Arabidopsis thaliana: one gene and its partners. The protein of the gene in region 3 interacts with the protein of the main gene of each other region in a pairwise test. Each region holds a gene or a part of one and is shown on either strand. Other genes may lie near its edges.

Evidence for each region.
Region 1: the proteins of AT1G15710 (region 3) and AT1G66430 interact in a two-hybrid assay, tested with the Arabidopsis thaliana proteins (one large-scale study listed by BioGRID).
Region 2: the proteins of AT1G15710 (region 3) and AT4G22720 interact in a two-hybrid assay, tested with the Arabidopsis thaliana proteins (one large-scale study listed by BioGRID).

The regions. Positions count from the first base shown.
Region 1 is NC_003070.9:24,776,567-24,783,257, forward strand, and holds AT1G66430 (pfkB-like carbohydrate kinase family protein), read left to right. Parts: upstream 1-1,690; 5' UTR 1,691-1,833; coding exon 1,834-1,984; intron 1,985-2,203; coding exon 2,204-2,406; intron 2,407-2,481; coding exon 2,482-2,694; intron 2,695-2,766; coding exon 2,767-2,964; intron 2,965-3,065; coding exon 3,066-3,203; intron 3,204-3,369; coding exon 3,370-3,486; intron 3,487-3,692; coding exon 3,693-3,827; 3' UTR 3,828-4,176; downstream 4,177-6,691. Other genes in the region: AT1G66420 (DNA-binding storekeeper protein-related transcriptional regulator), read left to right, coding at 618-1,466; AT1G66440 (Cysteine/Histidine-rich C1 domain family protein), read left to right, coding at 5,605-6,691. UniProt on the Arabidopsis thaliana protein: May play an important role in maintaining the flux of carbon towards starch formation.
Region 2 is NC_003075.7:11,935,340-11,941,484, reverse strand, and holds AT4G22720 (Actin-like ATPase superfamily protein), read right to left. Parts: upstream 4,544-6,145; 5' UTR 4,342-4,543; intron 4,045-4,341; 5' UTR 4,019-4,044; coding exon 3,461-4,018; intron 3,376-3,460; coding exon 3,220-3,375; intron 3,116-3,219; coding exon 2,768-3,115; 3' UTR 2,516-2,767; downstream 1-2,515. Other genes in the region: AT4G22730 (Leucine-rich repeat protein kinase family protein), read right to left, coding at 1-101; CYP706A2 (cytochrome P450, family 706, subfamily A, polypeptide 2), read right to left, coding at 4,867-6,145.
Region 3 is NC_003070.9:5,400,216-5,408,433, reverse strand, and holds AT1G15710 (prephenate dehydrogenase family protein), read right to left. Parts: upstream 4,305-8,218; 5' UTR 3,930-4,304; coding exon 2,853-3,929; 3' UTR 2,524-2,852; downstream 1-2,523. Other genes in the region: AT1G15730 (Cobalamin biosynthesis CobW-like protein), read left to right, coding at 116-231, 318-403, 549-653, 762-899; TRFL5 (TRF-like 5), read right to left, coding at 1,124-2,296; ATPC2 (ATPase, F1 complex, gamma subunit protein), read left to right, coding at 4,645-5,805; AVP1 (Inorganic H pyrophosphatase family protein), read right to left, coding at 6,249-6,455, 6,537-6,596, 6,678-7,088, 7,219-7,549, 7,631-7,717, 7,818-8,197. UniProt on the Arabidopsis thaliana protein: Involved in the biosynthesis of tyrosine. Has a weak prephenate dehydrogenase activity.

The DNA.
Region 1 (6,691 bases), about 19 Mb from region 3:
CATCTTTTGTAATGGCATGTTTTCCATCAATGTGTGTGAACATTGAAAACATAAACTGTTGAATATCTAAGGTCATCTCCATTGGTAAGAAACCTTCAAAGTTTCTCAAAAAAAAAAATTACTAATATTTTATTATGACTTAATTTTGTAATTAATATATTCTTTTCTTTTTTTCAGTTGTCTAATTACTTCAAAATTTCTCTGCACAGAAACGTTTCTGTAATTATGTTATTCTCTCTCCTCCTTTATGAATTGTTTATATTATATTAGTGAAAAGCAACTCTCAAAATTGTAACCGATGGAGATGATCTAACCTATTTACCAAAAACAATTCAGACAAAATTTATTTTCGGTTTAGTCGTTTTTTTTCGTTTTCTTAATTTCAAAATAATTTACTGGGAAAAGAAAAAATCATCATTACGCTCATGTGAAAAAAGATCGTTCATTGTATGGGTTTTGGAAGTTAGAAAAGTAAGCAAGCAACTTATACCCTATTGGCCATTATATCTACCGAGAAACAACAAGCTCTTTAATTTATAAATTCGTGTAGTTGCCTTAAACAAACCCCAAGCTTTCATTACACACCACAACCAAAATCGTAGTTTGAAGATTCTGATATGTCAAAGAAGCATCTCAAGCCGTTGGAGACATGTTTTGAAGATGAAGAAGATGATGTTATTTATCTTCCTCCAGGTCTTGTGACCGGTGCAACTTCCAAGAAGAATGAGGAGTTTTGTGGCGGCTCCGGCAAGGTACAACCGTCTGAGATGAAGCGTCGGAGTGAAGGGACCTCAACGGACATGACTTCGAAGAGAGCCAAGAAGGTTTCAGCAGAAGATGAGAAGAAAGTTGGAGAATGGACAAAAAACCCATATTTTCAAAGACTGTGGAGTGAGGAAGATGAGATTGTTATGCTACAAGGAATTATTAAATTTGAAGATGTTACAGGGAAAAGTCCGTTTGAGGATAGACACGGGTTTATAGAATTCGTCAAGAACTCCATTAGCTTCGAGGCTAGTGTGCAACAATACATTGGCAAGATTAGCCAATTGAAGAGGAAATATACGAGGAAAAGGAAGAACGGTTTTTCTGAAGGTCATGAACAGAAATGTTTCAAACTGGCCATGTCTATTTGGGGAACTAAAGAAACGTCTAAGAAGACGGACTTGTGCTCTTCACCTAAAGGTAAAAAAGTTAAAGAAGAAGATGGAGATGTGACAAACTCTGATTGGTTTGAGAATTCGTTTCTACTTCCATCAATTGAGAGTCTTGGTGTGGATTCGGTTAAACGTAAATGGAATGTTGTGCCTATGGAGTTTAAGAAGAAAATTGAAGAGAGGTTGGAGTTGTTGGAGGCTGATGAAAGTGAATGCAAGAAAATGGAAGAGATGTTGAAGGTTAAAAATAGCGAATGCGTGAAACAAAAGACTAACCTTTTGAATGAGGTGATCGATGTGATGACTTGAGATTTTAGATATGAAGTTTAATGTTTTCTAGTGGTTTATCTTATGACTCTTTTATGTTGGATTATTTCTTTATATATCTTAGCATAAAAAAAGTTCATTTTGGTAGAAAACAGAGAAAAAAGGATTAATTAGTAATTACGCAATCTAATCAAATTTTAAAACTTGTGATTATGTTAATAGCGCTATAATTAAAAACTCTGATCCGTTTAAAATGAAAATGACTTTTCAGATTTCCTTTGGTTGCTCCGCTACTTCTCACTGTCGCTCTCTCAGCTTCCTCTCTCACAATCATAAAATAAAAAACAAAAAGTAGCTTCTCCAAGACGCGGTTCCCAATATCTGCGTTTCCCGTTTGCGTTTTCCGGCAATGGCTCTCCAAGCCACTACTACTACGTTCTGCTTCTCCGGTCCAACTTTCCGATCAACTCCTCACTCACTCACTTCAAAACGTCCTATCTCCATCAAAGCTACTACTTCTTCTCCTTCAAGACTCTCCAATTCACGATCTAATCTCAAAGGTTAAATCTCAAATAATTTCTCCATCACATTTTGGTTTTCTTTACCATAAATTCTCATAAAATGTTGAAATTGCAGAATATGCTTGGTTTATGCATTAATCTTATAGAATTTGTATTTTTGTATATTATATAGTCTTTGTACATGAAATTGTATATAGTTGTTGAGAAAGAGAATTTTGCTTTGTACTGATTCATACAATTTGTGTTCTGTTTTTAAAGGAAGAGCATTGTCTAGTGATGGTTCAACACAAGAATCTCCTTATGTAGTCTGTTTTGGAGAAATGCTAATCGATTTTGTACCGACGACAAGCGGACTTTCATTAGCCGATGCACCGGCTTTTAAAAAAGCTCCAGGTGGTGCACCTGCTAATGTAGCTGTTGGTATTGCTCGTCTTGGTGGTTCTTCAGCTTTCATTGGAAAGGTGAATGGCAAAAACTTGGTCTTCTTGTTTTTTAGATTGTAACATTTTGAAACTTTGATTCTATGGTGTGTATAGGTTGGTGAAGATGAGTTTGGTTATATGCTTGCGAATATTTTGAAAGATAATAATGTGAACAATGATGGTATGAGGTTTGATCCAGGAGCAAGAACTGCTTTAGCTTTTGTGACTTTGACTAATGAAGGTGAAAGAGAGTTTATGTTTTACCGAAACCCGAGTGCTGATATGTTGTTAGAGGAGTCTGAGCTTGATTTTGATTTGATCAAAAAGGTAAGCTTTGAAGTTTTATACACTGCAAAACATGTAGCAACCACTTCAAAATGTTAACCGATCTTTTGTCAGGCAAAGATATTTCATTACGGTTCGATAAGTCTTATCACCGAACCGTGCAAGTCTGCGCATATTTCTGCAGCTAAGGCGGCTAAGGAGGCTGGTGTTATACTCTCTTATGACCCTAACCTTAGGCTTCCGTTGTGGCCTTCTGCAGACAATGCTAGGGAAGAGATTCTGAGCATTTGGGAGACTGCTGATATTATAAAGGTTTATTTTTTCTATATATGTATGGTTACATTTGCGTATATTATCTTTCACTTTTGTTCTTGACCTGAAACTTGTTGTCTCTGTTTGATAAAATGTTCAAGATAAGTGAAGAGGAGATTGTCTTTCTAACGAAAGGAGAAGATCCGTATGATGATAATGTTGTACGCAAGTTGTTTCATCCTAAGCTGAAACTTCTCCTTGTCACTGAAGGTCCTGAAGGCTGTCGGTACTACACCAAGGTGTGAAAAGTTCCTCTCTACCTTTTGGTTTTGATACACTTGTCCAACTTAAAGCGGATTATGATGAGAACTACGTATCCTTTCTCTTCTTACTCAAGGTTTAACGGCGGTTTTTTTTACCGCAATGTGAGGTCATAATACTTAAAAACTTTGTTCCACTTTACAGGATTTTAGTGGGAGAGTGCATGGATTGAAGGTGGATGTAGTGGACACAACAGGTGCTGGTGATGCATTTGTTGCGGGGATACTATCGCAACTAGCCAATGATCTCTCCTTGCTTCAGGTAACCTTTCATTTGTCATTTTAAACTCGATGTAGGCATGTAGCAGTTTATAGCTATGGTGAGTTTGGTGAGAAAGCAGTTAGTGAGGGCTAGGTTTATAAGGCTTTCTCGGCAGATCGTAGTATAGCAGTTTCTTAGCTTTGTTCTTATCATATGTTCATGACAACAAAAGCATATAGCTGAAAAAACTGAGTTGTTTGACTCAGGACGAAGAGCGACTGAGAGAGGCTCTTATGTTTGCGAATGCATGCGGGGCATTAACCGTTAAAGTGAGAGGCGCAATCCCGGCCCTTCCAACCAAAGAAGCTGTACATGAGGCTCTACTCAAAGCCGTCGTTTAACATTCAATAACATCACCAATATGAGAAACAGTTTGTACGCCAGCAGATTTCGCAAGTCTGCATTTTGTTGTTGTAAAATTGTTGTATAATGTACTTACCAATGTTTGTATTCTAGTAGCTGTAGAGCTTTAAGCCTTTGAATATATTGTTGAGCCAAGAACTAGAATCCATCTTTTGATCTTTGTAACTCTCAGTTTGAATTAGAGAGATCTTGAAAAAATGAAGAACTATAGCCTAAGTGTATTGTTAGGAGAAACAAATAGAAGATGCAAACAAATGAACAATATCTCCTGGATTATGAATGGTACTGATTTAGTCCAATGCCATTTAATATGTTTGGTTAAACTAAACTTTCAATGATTTGGTAATGTCAAACAGAGAAATCTATGGTCAGAGTATTCAAACTTAAGTAACTCTTCATGTCATATTAATTATAGAAGTATCCCATCCTAATGCACAAAACCACGTTGTTATTGACGAATTTGAAATGTATGCTTGATTTTCTAGTCTCCGGTAACTTCATTTTTCTAAAGTACAACGAATAGGAGCATTTTCTATAAGTACAACTCAAAACTGGCCAAAGGGAATCGAAGAAGAGGAAAGGCAATAATGAAGAAAACACAATTAGCTTCTCTTCTAAGTTTGCTTCTTATTTGATTAACACCAGAGATCGACATAAAAGTTAAACTTTGATATGCAACAATTAGTAGTAATTTTTAAACTTGTCTTAGGAAAGTACTTACTGGACTCGGCCCACTTTGATATTTCATTTTTGAACTCGAACGGGCATCCGAATGCGCAGACCTAATCTTTTCGGTAAACATGACTATTTTGCGAATCTCAGCAAAGTTGTTACTAAAAGCTTATTTTATTTTTGTTGTTACACCACGGCATCAAAAGTCAAAGCTGATTTTTCAATGGATTCGTTTTGTTTGTGAAGAAAATATGCAAGTTGCATAGGTCGACCCCTCATAAACATAATTCTAAGCTCAAATTATTCATTTGTAAAATCATATTATATATGTAAATATGATTTGTTAGTGCTAATCGATCATTGTCTTTGCGTTTGGACGAAGTCGACATGTCCTTTGTAATATTGTATTGCTTTAGTTATTTTCAACTATACATATAATAAGTGACGATCCGCAAGTTATGGGGTGTAATACAGAAACCAAAGGTAAAATTATAATGAAAGGGGTAGTGGCTTAGTGGTAGTAGAAGAGAGTTGATTTTCTTGTGATATCCCCGGGTATACAGAGGAAGATTCTGGCCTAAACCCGCGATTTAACCAACAAAAAAAAGAAGGTAGAAATATTTATGGGAACAAAAACATACATATGTGAAGAAAACTATAGGTTTAATGTTCACTAGTCCATCGAACATGGTTTGGCCTAAATAAAATAGATCATTCGATAGTTTTGCGTTAGAAGAAAATGTGAAAGTCCCATAGGCCGACCTTTGCCCCATCAACTAAATCATGAGGCTACTTTTTAATGTGAAGAAACTCGAATGCTAATTGTAATATTTTAGACTTTTAGTACTGTATATGAGTGTATGATCTATATTTTGCCTAGAGTTCCGTTGAGACATCGAATATCTAAATATAATTATTACATACTTTGTTTTCGGACAGCCGGTGTATGCTTGTCTTTGTTTAAATTATTGGCACATACATTATTTTATTATTGGTGTATAGAAGAGTACCAAGTTTTTGATACTCGATATTCAAAATCTCTCATACCATTCATCATTATTCAAAATCTCTAGTAAAAAAAAAATGGATTCGGAGTCGGAGCTCATATCGATCATTTCTCAAATCTTAGCTCTCACTAGATCTCACGTTGAGGAGGAGGAGGAGGCTGAGGCAGAGTCAAAGTTCTTATTATTCATTACTCGAATAATTTCTATAGTTAGCTCTCTTAACTTGAATGTGCAGCCAGAGCCCGGGGTCATATCGCTCATTTCTCAAATGATCTCGCTAAGCAGCTCTATATCAGACTCCAAGCCGGAGTTGGAGCTCATATCACTTGTGAATCATATGATCTCTCTCGTCAACTCTATAGATTCGGAACCGGAGCCGGATCCAGACCTCATGTCACTCATTACTCAAATATTCTCTCATCTCGACTTTATGGATTCAGATTTGGAGCTCAAGTCACTCTTTACTCAAATAGTCTCTCTCGTTAGTTCTATGGAGTCTGATTCAGAGCCGGAGCCGGAACGGGAGACGAAGCAGCCAATATGCTTGGCCCCTCAATTTAAACTAGAATTATCAAACGGGAAAAATCTTGTGACGGGATTTGTCAAGCGTGATGGTAGAAAATATGACCCCGAGTACTGTAACCCCGAGTACTGGAGGGTACTAAGGTTAACAACAGGCGAAATTTCTCATTTTCTCTGCCCAAGTTGCGAAGGTGATAATCATGAAGAATATGAGAAGGCTCCACTTGAGGTCAAACACCCTCTTCATCCAAAACATTCTCTTCAGCTTATCTTGGAAAACTCGTGGGGATGTCGAAAAAAGAAATGCTATTGTTGTGATGAAATACTCCTATGGATATTTTATTACTGTTGGGTTTGCGATTGTGGTATGAACATAGCTTGTGTGGAGAAACTACCGCTCTTATCAATACACCATCCGAAGTGGCATGAACATACACTTTCTCTGTTTCCAATACTCATATCCTTAACTTGCAACGTATGTGCCTTGGACCATTTCAACTGTCCTTTCTATATATGTTCCCCATGTGACTTTGTGGTTCATCAAAGTTGTATCACCTTACCACGTGTTATAAGGATATCTCGCCATCTCCACCGTATTTCCTTTACCCCTTCATTTGAACAAGGAGATTGGTCTTGTGGTG
Region 2 (6,145 bases), on a different chromosome or scaffold from region 3:
AGCTCCATTAAAGCCTTCAGCTCTGCATTTCCTCGAACATTCGACGGAGTTGCAAGAAAGATTGAGAGAAGGATCAGTAACGTGGCACATAAGGTAACCATTCTTGAATTTTCTTGTCTCTCTGTTTAGAAATTACTGAGCTTTAGCTCATTTATCTATCTCTCTTATAGAGCAGAATAATCTGTTTTATAGAGCAGAGTAATAAAGGAACGAAATTTATAGAGCAGAGTACTCTGTTTTGTACTGGATTGGGAGCTATCTCTTTGTTAAACGAAGATAGTAACTTTTAGAGAGGGACCAATTTTGTGTCTGTTTCTCGGATTTGGAAAACTGTAACCTTCCACTCTCGTGAATGAAAAGTTATTCTGCAGAATTTTCTTGTTTTGGAGAGAAGAAGAGAAAGAAGCAGAACCTCAGCTGGTGAAAAGTGGGAAGACAACACAACGCATTGAATACACTGTCTGTGTGAGACAGAGACGTATACTGCTTTTGAAAAGGAAAGCCAAATCTTGATGACTTTTTTGGTGATTTTTAACAGTTAATGTTCACATTTGTTAGTGGGGATGTGATGTTATTAGGTGTTTGTTTATTTATTATGTCTATTGCTCGAGATCTTGGTTTATTTCACTTTCTTTGCATTGGTTTATGATTTAGACAGACTTTAAAACATTTTTAGTATATTTCTTCTATATCACAAATTCTATATAAAACAAAAATATGCTTTTTGGATAACCATTTTAGAAACAAACAGAACTCGGGCAAATCGCAAAATCATTTAGCTATTTGATCATAACTTAAGTTTACGAATAAAATCCATAGAACTTAATATCTATGTGTGGTGGTTATTATAAATGGTAAAATGGGTAAAAGTGTAGAGCGGCTTTAATGTGAGAAAACGATCTAACGAGTGAAGTTTATTTAAGTTCATGTTTGGCGATTGAGCACTTTGGCTTATAGTTCATAACTTTTGGAATCATTTCGAAACTTGGATCATCCTCTTCTTCTTTGTCAACACTCCACCTTCCCATTCCCTGCATGTGCCACGTGCACGTGTCTACTCCTGCATACACATACACATACACATATTCATATTTAGTCTCTTAAAACAAGTCTTTGGATGAGAATAGTACTGATTAAAGAATGTTTTTTTTAGATCCATATTTCTAATAGTGGTCTAATATGATTAGTTGATTATATATACTATAAAATATAGTATACTATAAAATATAGTATATATGGTCTAAATATAGTATTTAGTTAATGATGATATCGAGATTTAGAGGACAATTATTCCACTAACTCTCTTTTCTTTTCCTCTAATTATTTGTAGGCTATAAAGTAAATTGATAAAAGATTAGTTATAGAAATGCTATTTGTTGGTACATGTATTCTAACCTAATTGGGTTTAAGAACAAGACAGTTTGACTATAAGCAGAATCCAATGTGGACTGAAACATTCATCTTAATTAGATATTCTTAGATATACTCTTTGATTATATACAAACTTTTATCATATGTCCTATTATACTGATGAATCTTACTATGTGGACAAAACTTAATTCACACAATGAATAAAATTGGTGAAAATGATAACAAAAAACAAATTAGTGAAGTAATTAAGCACGTTAAAACTAAAAAACGAGACTAGTAGATTTGACGACGACGATCGAGTTCAATGTGAAAGCATAAAACCTTATCAACGGCTATAATTCAGATCTTGATTACTTCAAGGTTTTTTAGATGTATACAATAGTTTTAACAAAAAAAAAGATGTATACAATAGCAATCAGACAACTTTGATTTATCTTCAATCATTCGTCTTTTATTTTTTGGCATTTCAAGATGGAAGGAAGACTTTTGAAATACTTTTATCTTTTCGTTAACTACTTTGACCTTTTACTTGATTGTTTTACTAATAACTTTTGTCATTTTCTCCTTTTTCCCACGTCTTTTTGAATCTATATGATGTCTTTTAAAACTTTTGAAAATTTTATATTTAGTATGCATGCTTACTTACATAGTTACATGTATGAATGTTTTATCTAGAACTCTAGTCTCTAGAAGGATATCCACATTATGCTACAAAAGTAATATAAATATCGACCAAAATTTGTGTAGCCTATGTGTCAAGGTTCTGATTTACACTTGAAAATACGCAAATGAGTTCTAGATGATGGAAAAATGATACACTATATCTCGAATGTTTTTACAAAATTATTAGATAGAATTTATCTCTACGTCAAATTGAAATTTTTGACAACTTGTTGTTGCCTTTACAATTTTTATTAGCAAGATCAAGATTAGATCATTATGTATAAATTCTATTTACTCACTTTTCGTTTAATACGCAATGCCATAGAAGTGTCTTGTGATTAATTGAACCATCTCATACGTTCTACATTAAAAAGTTCTTACTTTTTACTTTTTAGTAGTGCTGTATTTTCACAGTTGTTTTTGTATGATTAAGGAAGACTAATGCACTAATCTCTCCACCATTCTCGGTAGAAATGTCGACTTTGAGATATCATATTTTTATTAAAGCAATAAAACAAATAGCGAAATGCAACACAAGAAACATTTGAACTTTTTACAAAGCTCACTTTGAAATTTGAAAGTGTTATTACATTCAAACCAAAAGATATCAATCATATAATTTGGCTAATAAAACACATTTAAAAGTCTTAACTACTTAGCAAAAACCAATTTATCGAGTAGAGAGAGATTCAATCTCAAATTTGATGAAAAATGAACAAAAATGGGGACAGACTCAATTCGCTGCAACTTTCTTATCCCCAAGTAGTACAGCTTCTTTCTCTCGCCACACCGCATGAACCTCGTCTGTGCGAAATCGTTGTGTAAAGGTAGAGTCTTCGATCGGTGTTTCAATACCATTAACAAACGCGAGTAGACCTGTGTAAGCGATCATAGCTCCATTATCGATGCAGTAACGGTCATCTGTTGCAAACAGCTTACCATCACGTTCTGAGCACATAGTCCTCATCATTTCCTGCAAACGCTCGTTACACCCAACACCGCCAACTATCAAAACGTCTTTCTTGTCACAATGCGCCATCGCTCTTTCTGTGATCTCAACCAACATCGCAAACACCGTCTCCTGCAAGATCAACAAACATGAATTCATGATATTACTCTTAAACAGTCCAAAATTTGCATTCATGTGACAAAATTCATCAGTTAAGAACCAAGTGATAGCCTTACTTGAAGGGAATAACACAAGTCTGCTGGTGTACACTCGTTATTCTTGAGCTTCTCCTCTGCAGTAGTTTCGATATAACTCAAGATTCCGCTGAACGATACATCCATACCTTTAACAGCATACGGAAGATCAATAAAGTTTTCTCCTTTCTTAGCAAGCTAGTAACAACACCAAAAACCGTGTTAACATTGTTCTTGAATCTTTCAAGAATTCAAATTTACTTTACTTTCAAATGAAATCTACCTGTTCAATGTTATAACCAGGGCTTGGATCATTAGAAAGCTTCAAGACTCTAGCAAACCGATCCAAACAATTACCAACAGCAATATCAATAGTCTCACCAAAAATCCGGTACCTACCTTCACTATAAGCAATCACCTGAGTGTTACCACCACTCACATACAACACAACAGGATCATCAGCTCCAGTAACTACTCTCCCCATCTCAATGTGAGCCACACAATGATTCACAGCAACAATTGGCTTTTTCCAAAGCTGTGACAATACTCTAACAACAATGGCTGAAACCTGCAACGGCGCTCCCATCCCGGGACCTTTCGTATAACAAATACAGTCGATTTCTTCAGGAGTAACTTGAGAAGTCTCTAAAGCTGATTTGACTAAAGGAAGAACATGGTCAAGATGGTGATGTGCAGTCTCTCTAGGAAGAAAACCATGACCAGGTGGTGTTATATACGTATGCCGAGGATTTGCTAAGATAGTACCGTCTAAAGTCACAATTCCAACTCCAATCTTGTTAGCTGATCCTTCGAAACCAATGGCTATCATCTTCTTCTTCATTTCTTTGATTTAAAAACAGAAACTTTCTACACAGAGAACAACAAATTCAGGACTAGGTGAAGTAAAAATCCAAACTTTATTCTGAATCAATTTGAACTAACACAAATTATAGCCTTAGACGTTGAAGATGATGAACAAAATTAATCCTTTCGTTGATTGGTATTGGTATTGAGAGAGACCCAACAAAGAGATTCGTATAACCTAGGTTTCGTTTCCTTAGATGAAAGAGCCCTAAACCCTAATCTAAACACAGAAACCAATTCCATTCGAGACACAACACACTGAACCCATGTACTGTTGTTTGATTTAAATCAAAAACTAACCTGAAGCTGCGTGATGGCCGGAATCAGAAGTAGCTCACAAGCTCAAAGCAAAACGAAATTAGCCAGAGAGTTTAAAGAAGAAAAAGACGGCGATAAAGTCGCCGGGAGAGAAACGACGATGTTGAGTTTCTAGACTGTGTAAACGGCGTCGTTTATAAATGGGCCTAGCCCAATAACGCATATTTTGCCGCTAAGAAGGACTCATTTAGTGTGACGTGAAGTATTTGTGATATAATTATACATTAATTAATTTAAATAATTACAATTTTAATTTGTAACCTTCATACTAATTTGTAATTTGTTGACCCAAGAATTTTAATCGACTTGCCAAAAATATAACTACAATATAGTTTTATAGCTTTGGCATCGACTATTAGGCGTTATTATTGTAAGTAAAACTTTGTTATATTAAATGTTATCAAAAATGTAACTTGACACATCTTTTATACAAAGCATCAAAACTCCAGACACAGATAAAGAAAAGTAAACTTTAAACAAGAAAACTCAATTCAACATCCTTCTTACTTAAGCTGTGTAGAGTTTTGGATCGGACAACCTTGGAACAGGAATAGCCACAAGTGGAGACTTCAACTTAAGAACAAGACCAAACTTCTCTTCAACCTCAAACTTCTGTCCTTGAGGAGCTTTCCAATCAAAAGAGTGAAGAAGTGAAGCAATGTTGAACAGAACAAGTCTCTCAGCCATGTTTATCGCCGCACAAATCCTCCTTCCTGACCCAAAAGGCAAATACTTAAAATCACCTCCATTGAAATCAAGCGAATTCTCCAAAAACCTCTCAGGTTTGAACTCGTTTGGTTCATCCCAATTCTTAGGATCTCTATGAATCGCCCAAACGTTGATGAAAATCTTGGAGTCTTTAGGCACAGTGTATCCCGCAACCACCGAGGTTTCGCTGTTTCTGTGAGGAACAAGAAGAGGAAGCGTAGGGTGAAGCCTAAGAGTCTCTTTCATAACCGCTTGTAGGTAAGGAAGCTTAGGTAAATGTGATTCCTCAACGATGTTGTCTTTGCCAACAACTTGGTCAAGTTCTAGTCGGATCTTGTTTAACACTTCCGGTCTGCTCACAATCTCTGCCATGGCGAATTCGGATGCGTTAACCGATGTGTCGACACCACCAAGAACCATATCCATGAGGAGAGACTTGACATGAGTCATGGACAGAGGAGCTTTCTCATCATCATCTTTAACTCTAAGTAAGTATTGCAAGAAATCTTCTTCTTCTTCGCTCTTCTTTCCCACCATTTTGACGTGACTCTCCATAACTCTATCGAACAAGAGATCAAGCTTCTTCACATGGCCTTTCATCTGCTTAACCAATCCTTGGAAATCGAATCTTGAGAACAACGGAAAGAAATCTGAGTAGTTTTGAATCCCTTCTATGTCGGAGATATCAGATATTAGGGTTTTGAGCTCGTTTCCTAAGCTCGTTCTCTCGTCTCCTTCAACAGTGGCGCCCCACATCATTCTTGTCACGACGTTGAAAATGGAAAGAAATATTTGCTCTCCGAGGTTGACTGGTGATCCTTCACGAGCCATTTCCGACATGTGGACAATGGTTTGTCGGGTTTCTTCCCGGCGAGTGGAGTAGGAAGCTTCGAGACTTGGGGTAGTGAACATCTTCATGACGCAGAGCTTACGAAGTCTCCTCCAATGGGTACCGTAAGGAGACCAGAGGATGTCTTCACCACCGTAAGTGTTGATCTTTCCGACTTCAGGGAGATCGTGGTTGGCGAAAGTGATGTCGTGGGTTTTGAGAACCTCGCGAGCCATGTCAGGGGAAGAG
Region 3 (8,218 bases):
TGAATTGTAGCTCCTTACATTTGTTATGGTTTATTGGTTGTGGATTTCCTGGTTTAAGAGGGCTGATTTTGTTACTCTGATTTATTGCTGGTGGCCAACTATTTTATCTTTCCAGAATTGAAAGCTCTGTGAATGAAGAAGAGAAAGAAGATCGCGAGGGTCATGATGATCATCACCATGGTCATGACTGCCATGATCACCACAATGAGCATGAGCATGAGCATGAACACGGTATGTTATAGTGTTACCAAATAATGGCCTTATTACTTAATAACGATCGCCTACATGCATTGATTAGTTTGCTTCTGAAACTGCAGAGCATCACCATTCTCATGATCACACCCATGACCCTGGTGTTGGTTCAGTCAGTATAGTTTGCGAAGGAGACTTAGACCTCGAGAAGGTATTAACCCAATATGGCTCAAGTTGTGTCACATGTGATGCATAAAACTGTAGCACCTGACGTGTTACTTATAATTAAAACGATTGTTGAGATGTGCGATTGATTACTTGCATCATCTATAACCTTAGTTTTGAAAATGGATCAGGCTAACATGTGGCTTGGGGCGCTATTGTACCAACGTAGTGAGGATATCTACAGAATGAAAGGTATCCTCTCCGTACAAGACATGGACGAGAGATTCGTGTTTCAGGTGACCAACCTTTGTCATTATTTTGATCATTTCGGATGAATTCTAAAGCATCGAAGCCTTGGGATGTAAATTATCTCTGACGTTTGTGGTTTATAATGGTTGGAACAGGGAGTTCATGAAATATTTGAAGGATCACCTGACCGGTTATGGAGAAAAGATGAAACAAGAACCAACAAGATTGTTTTCATCGGCAAGAATTTGAACCGGGAGGAGTTAGAGATGGGTTTCAGAGCTTGCTTGATTTGATTATAGGACCAAATATTTAAAATCATTCCATTTTGTAATCAACTGGTCAATAGATTTTTGAACAAGAAATATCGTCTAAAGCTTGACACTAACTACAAGAGCCTGAATCAAGAACATATTAAAGCCTTCACCGTACAAAAAGTGAGTCCCTTTCTAACACAAGCGGCAAAACTACACAAGATCCCAAAACCAAAATGCCCATAAGTTAGAAGGTAAGATTCCTACTACTGACGACCAAGTAAATTCCTCCACTTATCCTTCAAATCCACCTCGCTCCTATCAGCGAAAACAACAGGGTATGAATTCTTGATATCTTTCCATGATTTTCCATATTCTTTAACTCCTTCCCTCAAAGCTGCCACTTCTTCAGAAGTCCAGAATTTCATTGGCCTTCTGGGACGCGGTCTTTCTAATCTTCCTTTCTTCAACGGTGATACATTCAGAGGTTCCGGGGTTGGTAGATGAGGCCTGACTCTTCTAGACGATGATGTTCCCTCACTATCTTCTGCATCAGTCCTATTTGCCCCATCAGGCTGAGGAGTGACATCAACTGAATGCTCCATTGCATTGTTAGGTTCTTGATCTTGCCTTGTTATAGGGTCGATGAGTCTTTGAATCTCCAACAAAAAATCCTTAAGCTCTCGAGCTACCAACATTTCCCCCTTATTAAGACTTGGCTCGTGTTCCTGTTCATGTTCATTCACCTTACCAACCCCATCAGGATTCTCCACACCACCCACTTCTTCAACATCATTAGCTTTCTCTCTATTACCTCCTCTCCGGGAAGCATATGGTGAATCCTTACGCTTAAGAAACCTCTTTCGAGCTTCTGATTCAAGAGAAGAACATCCAAGTAGTGCCCACTGCTCTTTGAGAAGCTGATTAAGATGAGAGATGGCATTGTACCTGATGTTAGTCTCACGAATCTTCTGGTAAATCTCAGGTTCCTCAAACGCCTTGTTTAGATCACTCTCCCATTTCAACAACTCACGAGTCACCAAGTCGCTCTCTTTCTCCTTCAATGTCCCAATCCGATTCCTCCAAATCCTCTCAAGGGCATCACCGAAGAAGCCATCCGAAGCATTCACTGGCCACATAAACCTAAGCGTGCATTCCACAGCAGTCCAGCAATACGCAGATTTGAGAGATCCCATGATAACCGAATGTTCCTGTAACAGAAGCTTCTCAAGAATTTCGAGGAGATCAAGCATTCCTTCGTCTACGGTACCTTGAATCATGGAATTGGAGATATCCCGCAAAACAGCAGTTAGCTTGAGTTTTACACAGTCGTCGGAATCTACTGGTTTCAGAGCCGATAACAGTGGAAAAGCGTAAACCCTAGGATTTAGTTGGCGTCGGAGGAAAAATTCAGCTACCCATTTGTCCATCACTTCCATTTCCAAGACTTTGCAAGTAAAAGATGCGAAAACCCGCGATCAGTTTTCGCCGTCGGTGCGTGGTTAGGGTTACAATTTTGGGAAGAGGAAAAGCTCCGACCAACTATGGTGGCAACAACACACGTGTGAATCATTCAAATTTAAAATGTGTTTTTTTCTTTTAATTAAATAAGACGAGACATTCAAGCGGCCCATTATATAATCGGCCCATAACGAAACGATGTTGTCCTGATCCGAATCGGGTGGGTGACCCGAGATCATTGGAGACAGAGAAAAACAGTAATGACTTTTGAGCAATACAATGTTGATCCAATACAAATATGGCCGGAGAAGGAGACAATTTGTCCGTATTTGTTTCCGGCGACCAGAGGGATAAGCATTTCCACAGATACATTTAGAGAAAAAAAGACAAGTTTATTGATACCAAGCCAAAAGAGACCCCAACATACATATGAACACACCAAAATCCCTTTTTTATTTTCCACTCTTGACGTTTTCCAAAAAAGTCACAACTTTTTATTTTTGAATCTAGCATAATCCAATCAAACTTGTGATCTTAAGATGATGATGATGATGATGATGATGATGATGATATATCATTCATAGGAACAACACCACCATCATTGAGCAATTTCTGCTCAGTTTTCTTGGGCGATTGAACCTCCCCACCAAACATTTGCTTCCTGTATTGCTGATGTAATCTCCCAAACAGCTCCTTCTTAACAGACTCAAAAGCCATATCCAATCTCTCCAACTGTTCAAGAGCATTCGGATTATACATAAACAAACCGTAGAAAAGCTCAAAGCTATCACTCGATGTGTTCTCCACCAAATCCAACAACGTCTCATAACCTTTGGTGTTAATCGGCGAAGACTCAACTCCATATTTCTCCAAAACCCTTCCCATAGTATGCGTCACGAATTGCGATCCAGCTGCGTAATAATCATGCTTCTCACAGCTCATTTCAACCATCTTGCAACCTTCATTCTCAAAAATTCTTAGAAACTTCTCACACCTCTCTTGTCTTGAAGCTGCGTCTCCGATTCTCACCTTATCGTAGACAAAGGGCAAGCCAGACCAAGAATGCTTACCACTCTCAGGTCCAAACATTGGATGAGTACAGAGAATGTCAAACTCCTTAGGAAGGTATTTAATGAAGAGGGCTTTTGGGAATTCCTTAACGGAGAGAACATCGACGAAGAGTGTGCTACGACGGAGACGTTGGAAAGGGAATGATCTGAGGACTGATTCTGTGGAGAGGATTGAGGTACAGAGGAGGACAACGTCGGGATGTTGTTCACAGAGATCGTGAGGGTTATCGAAGAAACGAGCTCCGATTGAGTTTGCGGCGTCGGAGTAATCGGAGCGGGAGTGAGTGATTAGATCGTGGCCGTGTCGAATTAGGGTTTTGGAGAGGAATTGGCCGAAATTGCCGAAACCCAAGACGGCGATTTTGAGAGCAGAGGATTTGCGGTACTCGGATTTGAGTTGGGTTTCGTAATCGAAGATTTGGGCGGCGTCGATTGCTCGAATTCGAAGAGATCGCGGCGGGGAAATGAGGAATGTGGGTGAATTGCGGCGGAGATTGGGTGGAGAAATGAGGGGTTTCGCCGGAGAGAAATGGAGTAGCATTGTGAGTAGTGTTGATTGAGTTTTAGCTCCAAAGTTGGGAGCTTAGAGAAATCTGTGAGAATAGAAGAGGAAGAAGCGGTTGCGCCAAAGGAGGAAGAAGATGCGAGCGAGCCTCAAAAATAAACGGATCAATTTTATGTCGTGGCCTAAACGTGGTGATGCTGATTGACCCAAGAAAAACAAAATGCTAAATACACAACAACACAAGGACCATAATGGAAATAAAAAATTGAGGTCAAAATTAAAAGTCGTTCCAAGGAAATTTGTAGGTACTGTTTTGTATTCATTTGTATTTAGTAACCCGCATTTACAATATTTCTTTTTCTGAAGGACTAGAGTTTTTATTTGTCCATAATTTTATTTTGATTTGTTACTTTAAAGTTCAATCTCTTCCTATATATGAATCTTTAAAAAGAAAATTTCGTAATTTTCATATGCTGACTATAGTTGTTGTTTTTTGGTTTTCTATTAATTTGGCTATTTGTAGTAATTTTTATTAGGATTTAGGAGGGTTATTGATATTTCCCTCGTTTTTCTCATAGAAAAAAAAAAACAAAAACTCTAATTTTGACTTTTGTAGTAATTTTTATATACTGACCCCTAATAAACATGATAATTACAGAAAACCCCTCAAGTTCTCTTTCTTTGCTCATTTCTTCACGAGAAGATGAAATCTTAAACCTCTCAAGTTCAGGGTCTTCTTTCCCAAACGAAAATGACAGGTTCGATCTCGACCTCTTGGCTCTTGTCGTCTCCTTCGAATTCGAATTCGGCTTCGAGCTCAGAGTCCTACTCTTTCATAGCTACCTTGAAACCAGTTCGTTATTATCCGTTTCAATCACTGACACCAAACCGGATTTCGTCGAGATCTCCGTTGCCCTCAATTCAAATTCGAGCTGGAATCCGAGAGTTACGAGAACGAATCGACAGTGTGAAGAATACCCAGAAGATAACGGAAGCGATGAGACTCGTGGCGGCAGCTAGAGTTCGTCGAGCTCAAGATGCAGTCATAAAGGGTAGACCTTTCACTGAAACTCTTGTGGAGATTCTCTACTCAATTAACCAATCTGCTCAATTAGAAGACATTGATTTTCCTCTGAGCATTGTTAGACCCGTGAAGAGAGTTGCTTTGGTTGTTGTTACTGGCGATAAAGGATTGTGTGGTGGTTTCAACAATGCAGTGACCAAGAAAGCTACTCTGCGAGTTCAAGAGTTGAAGCAGAGAGGAATAGACTGTGTTGTGATAAGTGTAGGTAAGAAAGGGAATGCTTATTTTAGTCGGAGAGATGAATTTGATGTTGATAAATGTATTGAAGGAGGAGGTGTTTTCCCAACGACTAAAGAAGCTCAAGTTATTGCAGATGATGTGTTTTCCTTGTTTGTCAGTGAAGAGGTTGATAAAGTTGAGCTTGTTTACACAAAGTTTGTGTCTTTGGTGAAATCTGATCCTGTGATCCACACTCTGTTGCCTTTGTCGATGAAAGGAGAGTCTTGTGATGTGAAAGGTGAGTGTGTTGATGCTATCGAGGATGAGATGTTTAGGCTAACGAGCAAAGATGGGAAGTTAGCTGTGGAAAGGACCAAGCTTGAAGTTGAGAAGCCTGAGATCTCACCGTTGATGCAGTTTGAGCAAGACCCTGTTCAGATTCTTGATGCAATGATGCCTTTGTATCTCAACAGTCAGATTCTAAGAGCACTGCAGGAATCTTTAGCGAGTGAGCTTGCGTCGAGGATGAATGCGATGAGTAATGCGACTGATAATGCGGTTGAATTGAAGAAGAATCTGACGATGGCTTATAACCGAGCGAGACAGGCTAAGATCACTGGGGAGTTGCTGGAGATTGTGGCTGGAGCAGAAGCTCTTCGAGAGTCTTAGGTAGAAACTACAGCTGTGTAAAATCATTTGTTGTTTGTGGTAATAAATGTCATGAAAGAATTTACAGATCATGAGAAATTGAGAATCGTTTACACCTAACGCCGACAAAAGACTAACAGTAACAATAAATTCCAATTATGTCTCGAAGAAGACAACCAATTTAGGAAATATAAGCAGCAGAAAGTAACGGCTAAAACAAGTCTCGACCGAATACTTGGTGGATTTCTAAATTCTAAACAGAACAAAAAGAAAACAGAAAGACAGAGAGTGAGAGAAAGAAACATCATTTGGTTGGTTCTTTAAATGAGCCTCATCAACAAAAAAGGTTTTTTAACCACCTACGGTAAACGAAAATAAGAATGGTAAAAAAGAAAGTTTAGAATCGATCGCCATCATCATCTTCTTCTTCTTCATCATCGTCATCTTCTTCCCTCGGATTGAGTTTAGAAGTACTTGAAAAGGATACCACCGTGAGTGGCGAAGAAGGGAGCAAAGACAAGAGACTCAACAGCCATGAGCTTGATGAGGATGTTCAATGAAGGTCCTGAAGTATCCTTCAATGGGTCTCCAATTGTGTCTCCAATCACAGCTGCCTTGTGTGGCTCTGAACCCTTTGGTCCAAGGCTCTTTGCGTGCTCTGATACACCAGCCTGCGAATATATAACAATGCTTAAGGATTTGACTTCATATTTTCAAATGGTTTGATTTAAGCTACAAGAAAATTCCATTACCTCGATGTATTTCTTGGCGTTGTCCCAGGCACCACCAGTGTTAGATGCTGATATGGCGATCTGAATAGAATAAACAGAGAGCATCGATGAGCATTTTTTTTAAGAATAGTTATTCACAATTGAATTGAGAATATACTTTACCTGAACACCGGATACAAGAGATCCGGCGAGGACACCAGAGAGGGTCTCAACTCCAAAGAAGAAACCAACAATGAGAGGTGTGAGCATGACAAGGCAACCAGGAGGTATCATTTCCTTGATGGAAGCATCGGTGGAGATCTTGACACATGTGGCGTAGTCTGGTTTTGCGGTTCCTTCCATAAGTCCAGGGATGGTGTTGAACTGCCTGCGAACTTCTTCAACCATCTTAAGAGCTGCACTTCCCACACTCTTCATTGTCATGGCAGAGAACCAGTAAGGAAGCATGGCACCAACAAGGAGCCCAATGATAACTTTAGGGGTCAAAACATCTACGGTGTGGATCCCTGCACGGCTCACAAAGGCACCAAAGAGAGCCAAGGAGACTAGGGCAGCAGAGCCAATGGCAAATCCCTGTACACAACAAACCAGAATAACATGTCAAAATACAACACAAGCAAAGGCAACCTGAGGAATGGTTCAAGCAAGCAAGCTCTTTTATTAATTCATCGGATTGCAGAAAGAGGTTAAGAAGGCTCCATACCTTTCCAATAGCAGCAGTGGTGTTTCCAGCGGCATCAAGAGCATCAGTTCTTTCACGGATGCGGTGGCTCATTCCAGCCATTTCAGCAATACCACCAGCATTGTCACTGATGGGACCATAAGCATCAATTGCCAAACCAGTGGCAATGGTACTGAGCATACCAAGAGCAGCAACAGCAACACCATACATAGCAGCAAAGCTGAAGCTAACGAATATACTGATAGCAATAGCAAAGATTGGAATAATGACGGATTTGTAACCAAGAGCAAGGCCGAAGATAACATTGGTAGCTGCACCAGTTCTGCATGAATCTGCAACATCTTGCACAGGGCTGCAAGAATAGGAGGACATAAGAGTTAGCTCTACTAGCTGGGAAAAGTTAGTGACTAAATACAGCTAAAATGAGTCTTACCTGTAGGCGTTACTAGTGTAGTACTCAGTGACGAAACCAATAATGAGTCCAGCCCAAAGACCAACACAAACACAAAGGAATAGCTGCCTGAAATCCAAAATAATGCAAGACTTAAAAAAGTGCAACGAGAAATTTGAATAGAGAAATGCAGGAAAAAAACAAAAGCAATCATCCACAAGGAAATTACCAGTTCTTGACAACTTTTTGTGTTCCAAAGTTGAAGATGGTAAAGGAGGTCGGTAAGCCAACCCATGACACAATAGCAATACCAACAGTCATAATAACAGTTGAGATAATGAGCTGGTTCTTCAATGCTGGTTCAATCTCCTTGACAAGCTTAATCTCAAAGAAGTCAGTGGCAAAGAGAGTTGTGATCAAACAAACCAAGATTCCCATTGAACTGATGAGCAATGGGTAGCACATGGCAGTGAAGTCGTGGTTGATTCCGAAAGATGAGATCGAGGCAACAACAAGAGCAGCGCATGATGCTTCAGCATATGATCCAAAGAGATCAGATCCCATACCAGCAATGTCACCAACATTGTCACCGACATTATCAGCAATGACCTGTAACATAACCAACCAAAA